3 linked regions of the Sus scrofa genome follow. The protein of the gene in region 2 interacts with the protein of the main gene of each other region in a biochemical or structural test. Links are inferred from orthologs where the notes say so. Each region holds a gene or a part of one and is shown on either strand. Other genes may lie near its edges.

Region 1 (2,462 bases), on a different chromosome or scaffold from region 2:
CAGGGGCCAGGGGAGATCCTCCTTCGCAAGGGTCGTTTGCACTTCACACTAATTTCGGGCTGAATCAAACAGTGGATTCCATACTGAATAGCTGTGACAGGCCATCCTTGTGGTGACTGAGGTCATCCCATCCTAGGCTCTATCTTTCTCTAAATCCGTCCCCACCGCAACCTGCCTGCCTGCCTTTACTTCTGTGGCCAAGGTAGGGTGCAGGGTCAGGCCCTAAGAGATCAGGAGGCCCTTGCCAAATTTACTTGGAATCTCTTGCTGAAGGCGGGGTGAACAGATGCATGGTGAGACGGTTGGATGAGGAAAGAGGCTGGCAGAAGGGAGAAGATGAAGACAAGTGTGAGGGGTTGCTGAGAACATTCAGCTGCCCGAGCAGACAGGGACCTCCAAGTTCAACTTGTCTAACTCCCTGGTTTTACAAATGAGGAAACAGAGGCTCAGAGAAATGTGATGACTTGCCCAACATCGCGCCATTGCTTTGTGGCAGAGCTGCAGCTAGAACCCAGATCCAAAGACAAGGGGACAGAGGGAAGTGTGTATTCAAGCCTCTAAAGAGTGATTCTGTGGAAGAGAAGACAGACTGAGATTCCACAGAAAGGGCTGACCAGTGGCAACCGCCAGGAGAGTCTGGGCATGTGGAGACAGGGGAGTGGGATTGGGAAGGGGCCTGGAAGGCAGCGTAGACTCGTACAGTGAGCGAGGGTGGGTTCCAGACAGACCTGACCCTGCTATTTATGAGCTTGAGTCTCAATTTCTCAATGGATCTTGTAGGATGTACGTGAAAATCAATCTCATAAGCGAACGCTTCTGAAACACCAGCGCAGTTCTTGACAGATGCTGAATAAGTCTCTGCTATGGTTGTTGCATGACCTTCGGAGAGGAAAGACCCCTGGTTGTCTGGGGTGGGGAATAGCCAAGATGACCCTGCAGGACACAGGGCAGAGGTCCAGTGTCTCCAGAGACCATTCCTCTTCTGCTGCCTGCAGCTGATAAACCTCTTATCTGGCCCAGGCAGGGGAGCCCAGGGCCAGGATAGGAGGAGAGGGCAGGGCTGCTATCAGCCACCAGGCCTGGGCTGTATCTCAGAGAAGGGGCGGGGCTGTCTGCTGGCTCTTCCCACAAGGCGCTCCTTGGGCATCCCCAAGCGCTTGCTCTCATCTTGGAAAGAAAAGACTGAGATCTTAAAACTGAAGGCAGAGGAGGACAGCAGAAGTGATCCCCTGATGTTGCAGCAGGAAACAGGCGGAAAAACACCCTTAAATGATGTGACTTCTGTCCCGGCCAGTGATACGGTTTTGGGGACTAAGAAATAGGGGAAAGAGAAGGCATCTTGTGAAAAGAAGATAAACACCTACTGTGCTCCCAAAGGAACTGCCTACAGCCAGAGCAGGTGAGGTAGGGATAACACGGCAGAAAAGGGCTTTCTTGCTTAGGGAGTTGGTTGATGAGTCCAGCACGAATGGGGGGCAGTGAGGTGTCTCCTTCCCTGGCTGGAGGAGCCTCTCCATGGAGGAGGACAACACTGCTGACCCATGGCAGGGGACTTCCTAACCCCTGTTTCTCCTTTGACACAGACTGCTGGGACCATTTGGGCTTTCAGGACCTTGGACCAGGCCCTGGCCCAGTAGGATGCCCCCGTGTCCTCCCCAGCAGAGCAGGAACAGGGTGACACAGTTGCCCACTCCGGAGCTGGGTGAGATGGAACTGACTTGGCAAGAGATCATGTCCATCACTGAGCTGCAGGTGAGTGGGGGTGGGAGAGTTGGGGGTGGGAGGGGCGGTAGGGGGAGGGAAAAGGGAGAAACGGGGAGTCTGGCTGGGTCTGAGGCAGGGGGCTGGAGCAAGCAGAGCCCAGGGGCTCAAGATGGCAATGCTTTAGGCGCTGTAAAGAGAAGGGCTGGAGCTGGAGGGCGATCTGGATGGCAGACGGGGGAGCCTTGAGGGGGAGGGGGTGTGGATGAGCAGGAGATAGGAGTGGTGGGGAAGGAAGGATCTGATTGGGGGTGTAAGCTCTCTCAGCAGCCACTCTGCTCACGTCTCTCTACCCCACCTCAGGCCCCGTCTTTCCTTCCTCACCTTCTATGCTGACTCCTCCCATCCTGCCCATCTTCCTCCTTCATTCCCCCCTCAGCAGCTGGGCCCCTTTCCCTCAGGTAGCAGAGCAGTAGTAGTTCAGGGGCCTCGGGAAGGGGGGGGGCAGGCTATGCCGGGGTCCTCTCCTTCTGCTAGTTGGACAAAGGGGTGTCTGTTGGTTTAACAATGATGCCTTTGTCGCCAGGCGGGCTGGAGCAAGGTGGCTCCCCGATGTGGGTTGGGGGCCCTGTTTCTAGCATGTTCTCTCCTCCTCTCTGCACCTGGGCAGGGACAGAGAGACCGAAGGGGAGAGGGCAGAACTAGTGCAGGCTCCCTGAGGTACCTCTTAGCCTCAGACCTGGCTCTATGCCCACCCCATT
Region 2 (4,095 bases):
GCGCCCTCCTGCAGAAGCCACCAGCCCTCCAGGCAACGTGGGGCGGCAGGGTGGGCTGGGAGGTGGAGGCACACGCTCACCCAGGGTAGAGACAGCTCCTCACCCGGCCCTGAGCCAGGAGGCTGCAGACGGGAGGCCAGAGGCCCCAGCCCCGCTGTCCTACCAGGGGTAGAGGAGCTGGAGGCCAGAGGTCCCCACGCCTACGCTGGGAGCCAGGCCCGCAAGACACAGTCAGAGGGGCACCCCCAGCCTCCGGCCCCGGTACCAGGTCACCGCACTGGCCCTACGACTGTCAGCCCGAAGGAAAAGCCTCGGCACCAGCTTTTCTCATCCACCCCCTTCCCTCCAGACTTGAATGCTGAGCCCACGGTGACTTCCTGAAGAATCACCCAGAAAAGTGCCGAGCGTGGCGGCTGGGAGCCGAAAAGTGCCTCCTCGACAGATTTCCCGGCGCAGAAGCCCTGAACTCAGCACAAGTGCAGCCAATCGCCTCCTAATCAAAGGTGTGCGCGCTCGGCTGGGGGAGGGGGTCTCGGCGAGGCCTGCCTTCCGGCCTCCTGGCCTGGTCTCCGCTACCTGGGGCCTCACAGTTCCAGGACGAGACACCCTGTGGGCCTGGGTTGGGACCGAGGTCTCAGGGCACCTCTAGAAGCCGGAGGAAGGGGATCCCCGAGGCCGTTTCAAGGAGACGCTGCCTCCCTGCAGCCCTCCTCCTGCCTCTGCTCCCCCAGAGGCTGAGCCCACTTCGGGGAGGAGGCAGGGGTGGTCCCCAGAGTGCATACCCACCAAGGTACCCAGGCCTAGCCACTCAAGCTGAGAGCCGGCCAGGAAGGAGAGAGGGCCCCCTCCCCCTCCCCTGGGCTCAAACTCCAGGGCATGGACACTGGGCAGGAGGCCAGCTCGCTCCTGCTTCTCCTGTCCTACAAACCGCAGTGGCCAAACCTCCCCGGCAGGCGTGGCCCCGGTCATCCTGGCACCCCCCCCAGCCCGCTACACTCACCCTGCCCTTCGGACCCATTTCCCCAGAAGCCCTCTGAAAAGTGTCTCAAACTTCATTCCCACCAAACGCAAGTAGCTGAGAAGATTTAAAGAAATACCACTCTAGGAATCTGCATTTTCATAAAACTCCAGCCAAAAGATCAGCTGGTGGGAGTTCCCTGGTGGTCTGGTGCTTAGCACTCGGCACTTTTACTGCTGCGGCCTGGGTTCCATCCCTTTTCTGGGAATTGAGATCCCACTTCAAGCCACTGCATGCTGTGGCCAGGAAAAAAAAAAAAAAAAAAAAGATCAGCTGGCATCTGTATGCCCAGGGCTGGGGTGAAGGGGAGCGGAAGTAATGCCTGAGGACAAAGCACAAGGTCAGCCTTACCTAGCCTTGAACCCCTGGGCAAAAGGATCAGCTCTGGTCTAGAGGAAAGACCCCCACTCCCACCCCCGCCCCTGGAGACCAGGAACCACCCATTCACTTAGGAAGGTGGCTCAGGCCACACGACCCTCAGGCTGGAGTTCCCTCCCCAGGAGTCCCCACCACCACCCCATCAGGACCACCTTCTTTGTTAAGCTGCACAACCCTGAGCCCAACCAGAACAATCCGGGGTGACTGAGATTCTTCAGCCCATGCCGTCCACCCCAGTCCAGTGCCCTGAAGGTGGGTGCCCTCCAAGCTACCGCCACCCACAGCCTCGAGCCAGACCCCACGGCGGGCTGTGAAGAGAGGCAGGGCCTGCTCACCAGACACCAACTCCCCTGAAGTCTAAGTCCTGCTGCTTCCTCTCATTGGCAATTTCCTGGTAGAGCTGCACCTACATGCCCCCTGCCCTGTCCACTGTTACCCAGAAACCGGGTACAGGCACCCCTCTTTCTCCCACTGTCTCCCCATCTTCCCCGCCCAGAGGCTGCCCAGCCTGGCCAACCAGACCAGTCATAAGGAAAGCCGGCTTCCCAGCCCGCAAGCACAGCCCCCCTAAGCTCCTCCCTCTTCTCACTCAGAGAACTATTTCCCAGTTTGGGGAACTGTCCCAGACGCGGGTCAGGGACCAGCAGCCTGAGAAAAGCCTGCCGGGGAGGGGATGGACGGACCAGGGTCTTCACCCTCTACCCCAGAATAATAAGAATAGCGGTCCCTCCATTTACTCACCCCCCAAACCTTCAACACGCACATCAGCCCGAACTTAAGCAGGCACCCCAGCCTGGGGCCTAGCCCCTTCCCACTCCCTGGTTTAGCTCTCACCTCTCGCTTCCAGCCTCTCGAGCCCCTCGCTCAAATCCCCCCAGGCATCAGGACAAGCATCGAGTGACCTCATGCTGATGACTCAGCAAGTCTCCCTCTGGGCTCTGGCACGAGTGTGACAGAGCGAAGTCGGCGCGGGGAGGGTCTTCCTAGCCACCCCCCACGTGCCGCCCCCTTCCCCCCGGCCTCCAAGGACCCCCGCGTCCGAGAGGCGTTAACACAGACACCTGATGAATCAGCAGCTCAGGCTGGGACGGCCAGGCTCTTCCGCGGAGCCCTGGGCTCCCCGATCGACCCCACCCTTTCCTCCCGCCACCCCGGCCGCCCCTCCCTCCAGGACGCCCCGGCCCAGCAAGCCAGCCCGCGCAAGCCCCGCCCCGCCCCTGTGGGCACCCCCGCGCCCACCCGAGCACCCCAGGCGCAAGGGCAGGAAGCCGCTTCTGACTAGTGGGGAAATCGAGGCACGGGCCGCCAGCAGGGCGCGGGGCAGAGCCGAAGCTCGGAGCGTCCGGCCCGCGCCGCCCCGGACGCCCGAAGGAGCCGAGGCCCCGCGGAAGCCCGCCCTCGGCCCGGAGCCCCCAGCTGCCCCGCGCCCTGCCCCGGCCCGGCCGCCGCCGCACTCACCCACCACACTGCGGGCCCGGCGGGCCGAGGCTGGGGCGGGGCGGGGCGGGCACTCCGAGGCCGCGCGGGAGTGGGCCGCGCGGGGGCTCCGGGCCCGGGGTAGGGGCTCGCCGCCTGCGCGGGCCGGTCCGAGCGCGCTTGGAAGGCCGGGCCGGACCAGGCTCGGGGCTCGGGATCCGCCGCCGCCGCCGCCGCCGCCGGCCGCCGCCGCCGCCGCCGCCGCCCGCCGCCGCTCCTCAGACGTCACATGATGTTTGGTCACGTGGGCTCCATTCATGAAGCGGCGACGCGACCGGCTGGGGCTTAAAGGGGAAGGCGCGGCGGCGGCGACGGCGGCGGCGGGCGGCAGAGCGCGCCGGCACTGCGCCTGCGCGCCGGGCGCCGTCGCCCTGGCAACGCGCGCCGCGCCCGATGGGTGAGGTCTCGCGGGACTGGCCCGGGCGCGCGCTCCCTGTCCGGCCACGCCCCCTTTGAGGCGGGGCCTCGTGGTCCTCTGAAGCTCTCCTGAGGCTTGTGCGCAGACGTTGCAAAGGCCACGTGTCCGGTTTTCTGTTGCGGATCCGAGGTCCGTACGCATTATGGAGAAGGTCCTCATGGTGTTTCTGTTACTCCCCGGCAGGCTCTGCATGCCTTGCCTCCGTAATTGCGGAGCGGGCCTCAGCCTTGCCAGGAACAGCTGTCTGGTTCACAGGAGACCCACAGGCTCAGGGAGGCGAAGGGTTTGTCCGAAGCTCAAGGCCGCCTCCAAGGCTTCTGAGTAGTGTGGTCTGTCTTCACCCAGCATCCCGAGACCTCACATGAGGGACCGGGCTCAGGCGGCTCCTAGAACCCGTCTGGCTCAGAGTGGGTGCGGTGAATGTGGGCATCAGTAAGCATCTGTTGAATTCATAGTTGATGTAGGGGGTGCGCCTTTCCTTTCTGTTTCACCAGCGTCTGCCCCGAGCTTAGGTCCCCGTCCATGGACCCATGGACCCTTACAGAAAGTTTCTACACTTTCTGTAAGGACTTCTCACTTCTGTTCAAAATCCCCAGAGAAAGAGGTCTGGAAAGGAAGAAGGGAAACTGAAGGGACCCAATTCTACTTCCAGATTCTGGACGTCTCTTCTCAGGTGTGAGGTCAGGAAGGGTCGCGCCCCCCCCCACCAGACAGGTCAGTGAGATCAGATGAGCTGAAAGAGGGAGGAGCCAGGGACGAGGGCAGGATCCTTATGGGAATTCAGTGCCACTGAAGGAACGACAAA
Region 3 (4,332 bases), about 23 Mb from region 2:
TTATTAAGCAAGCATTTATTGAGTGTCTAAGTAGCAGGCACTTTTCTAGGTTTTGAAGACTCCACAGTCAGTGCACAAGATTCTAGTCCTTGTGGCGTTTGTATTCTAGCAATTTCTGGGAGAGAAATAGTAAGACGAAGAAATAAAATGTGCTCTCTGAATCTGACTTTGAAACAGGTAGCCAGCGTTTACGTTTTTTAAAGATTCAATGAATGGATGCTACTGTGTACTTCCATATGGCGAAAGTGCTTTATAATCTGGGAACCACCTCGAATTAAGCCGCCTAACTCTCCAAACACGTGATGGACTCAATGTTCTCACCGAATGACTTACCAGTTAGCCTTGTCCTTGATTGTACAAGGACCAGTGACTCGCCCACTAGATTAGTGGGATCTTCCAAGGAGTCAAGAATTTGAGTCAATGCCTCTTTGTCCCACAGCTAGGAACAACTCACTACATACTCCAACTCGGCCACTGGTTAAAAGTGGTCTCCGCACCCATCCGAGGTTATTGGGTCGTAAGTGAATCAGAACCTCGGGCATGGTGCCTCCAAATGTGCAAGTTTAACAACTTCCGCAAGTGTTGCTGGGGGTAAACTAATATTTGAAAATCACGAATACGTGGGCTAGGCGAGATTAGAAAACACTAGAAACTGAGGAAAGTTATGGAAAAGCAGGAGTAACGTAAGTGGGAGGTTGAGCAGAGACCATACAGGGGCGGAGCTCTTTGGGGTGTTGTAATCATGACAAAAAAATCACTAATTATGCCACACACCATCGTGGCAACATCGCCGAGCTGCCGCCACAGTTTGACCCTTGTCTGACATGTGGTGCAAAGATCCCGGACTGGCAAGGAACCCCGTGCCAAGCTTCCACGGAGCGGAAGCTGAGAGAGTGGTTTCCGCTGCCAGCAGCTAAGATGGTGGCACGAGCGTCGTCAAACCCGCCAAATACACACGCTGTGCCCCCACCTCGGCCTCTCAGGTCTCACTGGACTTTTGCAAGTCATCGTGGGAACCCTCATGGGGGGGATTCCGCGCTCCGACGGCGATACCACCTCCCACACCCGGCCAGAAGCCTTTATCCTCCAGCTCAAAGAACGCACTAGAAGAGGTCGGCCTCCTCGCTTTGCTCCGAGCCCAGCCTGTAATTCCCGCGGCTGGCGCACGGCGGAGGGAGTCTAGAACGCCGAGCGATAGGACCTTAGCCCCACTTATTGGTGGGCCTGCGCCGCGGGGCGGGCCTACATGCCCATTGGACTGCGGAGCTTGTCAGTCTTGGGAAATCGGTAAAGGGAGGAGGAGGTACACTTAGCCATTGGGCTTTCCCTGCTGTCAATCAAAGCGACATCCGGCGACGGCCACTATCTCGGCTCGTTGATTGGAAGAAACGTGTTCCTGGGGAGGGCGCGGGGGGCGGGCTTCCGAGTGAGGTGGGAGGAGGGGGCGGGGAGGGAAACGGAGGCTGGCGAGCTCTAGGCCGGCCGGCGGTGGCGGCGGCAAGGCCTGGACTCGGGCTGAGGGCCTGCTGGGACAGCAGCGGCGGACGCCGAGCTCAGCAGCGGTATCAAGCACATTTTTTTCCCTCACGGGAGGGGCGCAGTGCCGCGGGGCCAAGGCTTATGGGGTGAAGGGCGGCGGGGTGGAGCTGAGGGGCAGGAGGCGGGAGCGGGCGGCCGCGAGCGGGGTTCGCTCGGGGCTGGGCCTTGGACCTGGCAGGGAGGGGCCCAGAGGCTGTGGAGAAAGCCGGCTTCGGGGTGGGTTGGACTGGGGAGGGCTGAGGGCCTGAGAAGGCGTGGTATTAGGCCCGGGCTTGGGAGCGGGGTGGGGCCATAGGGGCGGAGGGCGGGGTGGGGTTTGGCCATCCGGGTGGGTCAAGGCCAGGAAAGTAGCACTTGTTCGCTGCTGCCCCAGAAGGCTAGAAGCCGAGGCGCCAGGAGCGGCATGGCGACTTGGTCCCAGCCGGACTCGGGTATCCGGGGCAGGGTGGGACCGGGCTCAGACCTGGCCTTCCTCGATCTTTAAGGGACCTCGTCCATTTGCCCGAACTTAATTGGCTCTTGGGAGGTTTTAGTAATAAATCGCGTGAGAACTGGAGGGTAGTGTAAGCAGGAATTCTAGATCGTAATTATGTTTACTCTAACCAGATAAGGGTGTGTGTGTGTGTGTCTGTGTGTATGTATAGATCCCTTTTTCTCTTTAGGATTGGGTCACAACAGTGAAGAAGAGAGAGTTATGTGTTGGTTTGTGAGGTTAATGGAAGCTCCGAAGTAGAGACTAGAAACTGAAAGGCAGCTTTGCTCTCTCTCCACTTGGCTATCTGGGTTGAGGACTTGGCCATATCCTTCTGCTTTGGCTCAGAAGGTCACATGAATGAAAATAAAACCTGCCTATTCAAATTCTGGGCCAAATAATCCTGCCTCAGCCCCCACCCCCCTCCCTTCAGTACCCCCCACCTTTTTTTTTTTCCTTTAATGTAAGAATGATAGGAAAGGGAAGTCAGGTTTCAAAATCGGGAAAACAGAAAAAGCATTTTTTCTGTAATGTGTTGTCCTCTCATCCTTGTACACTCTCAGCCAGTAATAATAATCTCTCCCTCCCCTTTAGAACTTGAAGGGAGAGGACTTGTAGGAGGCTCTCTCCTGAGAGATGGCAAGCAAACTTTCTTTTAAGATAGGAAATGGACTTCTCAACCTAAAAATAGAATCTGGGTAGTGTATACTTGGGGTGGGGGAGGGTTGATAAATTGGACAACATGTAAAATAGTTAGGATGCCCTGGGCATTATCTGCTTATCTGAAATGAACTTTAGAGTCCTGCACAGTTAATAGCCAGATACTGAGATCCCTGGTGAGCAGAATCTTCCTTTCGTAGTTATTCTTGTCTATAACAAATTTTTGGGTTTTTTTGTTTTTACGAGCGTATAACTGAGTTATTGTTGAGTAAAAAATAAGAGTGGTCTTTTAATATGTTTTCTGCTTTCTGCCTTGATCGTGGATGAAAAATGATGGACTCTTATCCTGTTGCTTTTGTGGTTCCCATTTCAGGTTTCTCTGGAAACCCCCCTGGTAAGTGTGGAGGAGGCGGGACACTCTGACCCAAGACAAAAGGCCTGTAGCTCCAGCCAAAGAAAATAAACCTTAGGAGGGAGAAGGAAAAAAAAAAAAAAAAAAATCCATCAGCTGTTCCTGAGAACAGCCTGCAGTGGAATCTACAAAGGACAACTAATGTGAGTGAGGAAGTGACTGTATGTGGACTGTGGAGACAGGAAGTCACGTGGGCCCGGAGGGCCTGGACTGGGTTAGGAACAGTTGTACTTTCAGCAGTGTGGTGTCACGAAGGGAAAAGTGAATGTGGTCTGGAGAGTGGCCTTGGCTCCAAGGGCTGTGCTTTCCTCTGAGGCCATCAGGGAGCTCGGCCCCTGTGTTCCCCAGGGGCGGGGTCCGGGGTTTGGCCCTGAGGGGGGTAACTTGCTGGCTGGAGCAGCAGAGCAGTGGCCTTGATTTGTCTTTTGGAAGATTTAAAAACCAGAAAGCATAAACATTCTGGTCCTTCAGCAATGCTTTCTCTGAAGAAATACTTAACGGAAGGACTCCTCCAGTTCACCATTCTGCTCAGTTTGATTGGGGTGCGGGTGGACGTGGATACTTACCTGACCTCACAGCTCCCCCCGCTCCGGGAGATCATCCTGGGGCCCAGTTCTGCCTATACTCAGACCCAGTTCCACAACCTGAGGAATACCTTGGATGGCTATGGTATCCACCCCAAGAGCATAGACCTGGACAATTACTTCACTGCCCGGCGGCTCCTCAGTCAGGTGAGGGCCCTGGACAGGTTCCAGGTGCCCACCACTGAGGTTAACGCCTGGCTGGTCCACCGGGATCCGGAGGGGTCGGTCTCTGGCAGCCAGCCCAGCTCAGGCCTCGCCCTCGAGAGTTCCAGTGGTCTCCAAGATGTGACAGGCCCAGACAACGGGGTGCGAGAGAGCGAAACGGAGCAGGGATTCAGTGAAGATTTGGAGGATTTGGGAGCTGTAGCCCCTCCAGTCAGTGGAGACTTAACCAAAGAGGTTAGTGGCTACATGGAGGGGCGGGTGGGGAGGGTCTGGGGTTGGAGGGCGCGGTGGGCTGGTCCTGAAGGAATGGGGTGGTGGTATTCGTAAACCCTTGTAAAGAACCAGAGAGGGTGTTCTTGGATACGAATGGGCTTAACTGTCTGCCTGGGATTGGAGGCTGGGAGTATTTTCCTTAGGTTGAGTGGTTGACCCACCTCTAAATGGACCGTCAGGGCAGTGGGCGGTTCCTAGAACATGCCTGTGTGTTTACTGCTTGGATT

Evidence for each region.
Region 1: the proteins of MAFG (region 2) and NFE2 form a complex in vitro, tested with the Homo sapiens proteins (2 studies listed by BioGRID and IntAct, with this or other methods). The link is inferred for Sus scrofa from reciprocal best matches to the Homo sapiens genes MAFG and NFE2.
Region 3: the proteins of MAFG (region 2) and NFE2L1 form a complex in vitro, tested with the Homo sapiens proteins (2 studies listed by BioGRID and IntAct, with this or other methods). The link is inferred for Sus scrofa from reciprocal best matches to the Homo sapiens genes MAFG and NFE2L1.

What each region holds. Positions count from the first base shown.
Region 1 is NC_010447.5:19,496,458-19,498,919, reverse strand, and holds part of NFE2 (transcription factor NF-E2 45 kDa subunit), read left to right. Parts: intron 1-1,172; exon of another isoform or gene 1,173-1,399; intron 1,400-1,583; 5' UTR 1,584-1,638; coding exon 1,639-1,752; intron 1,753-2,462. UniProt on the Homo sapiens protein: Component of the NF-E2 complex essential for regulating erythroid and megakaryocytic maturation and differentiation. Binds to the hypersensitive site 2 (HS2) of the beta-globin control region (LCR).
Region 2 is NC_010454.4:1,067,908-1,072,002, reverse strand, and holds the start of MAFG (transcription factor MafG), read right to left. Parts: upstream 2,930-4,095; 5' UTR 2,855-2,929; intron 2,511-2,854; exon of another isoform or gene 2,458-2,510; intron 2,408-2,457; exon of another isoform or gene 1-2,407. UniProt on the Homo sapiens protein: Since they lack a putative transactivation domain, the small Mafs behave as transcriptional repressors when they dimerize among themselves.
Region 3 is NC_010454.4:24,301,949-24,306,280, forward strand, and holds the start of NFE2L1 (nuclear factor erythroid 2-related factor 1), read left to right. Parts: upstream 1-1,432; 5' UTR 1,433-1,562; intron 1,563-1,829; exon of another isoform or gene 1,830-1,970; intron 1,971-1,976; exon of another isoform or gene 1,977-2,102; intron 2,103-3,044; 5' UTR 3,045-3,556; coding exon 3,557-4,066; intron 4,067-4,332.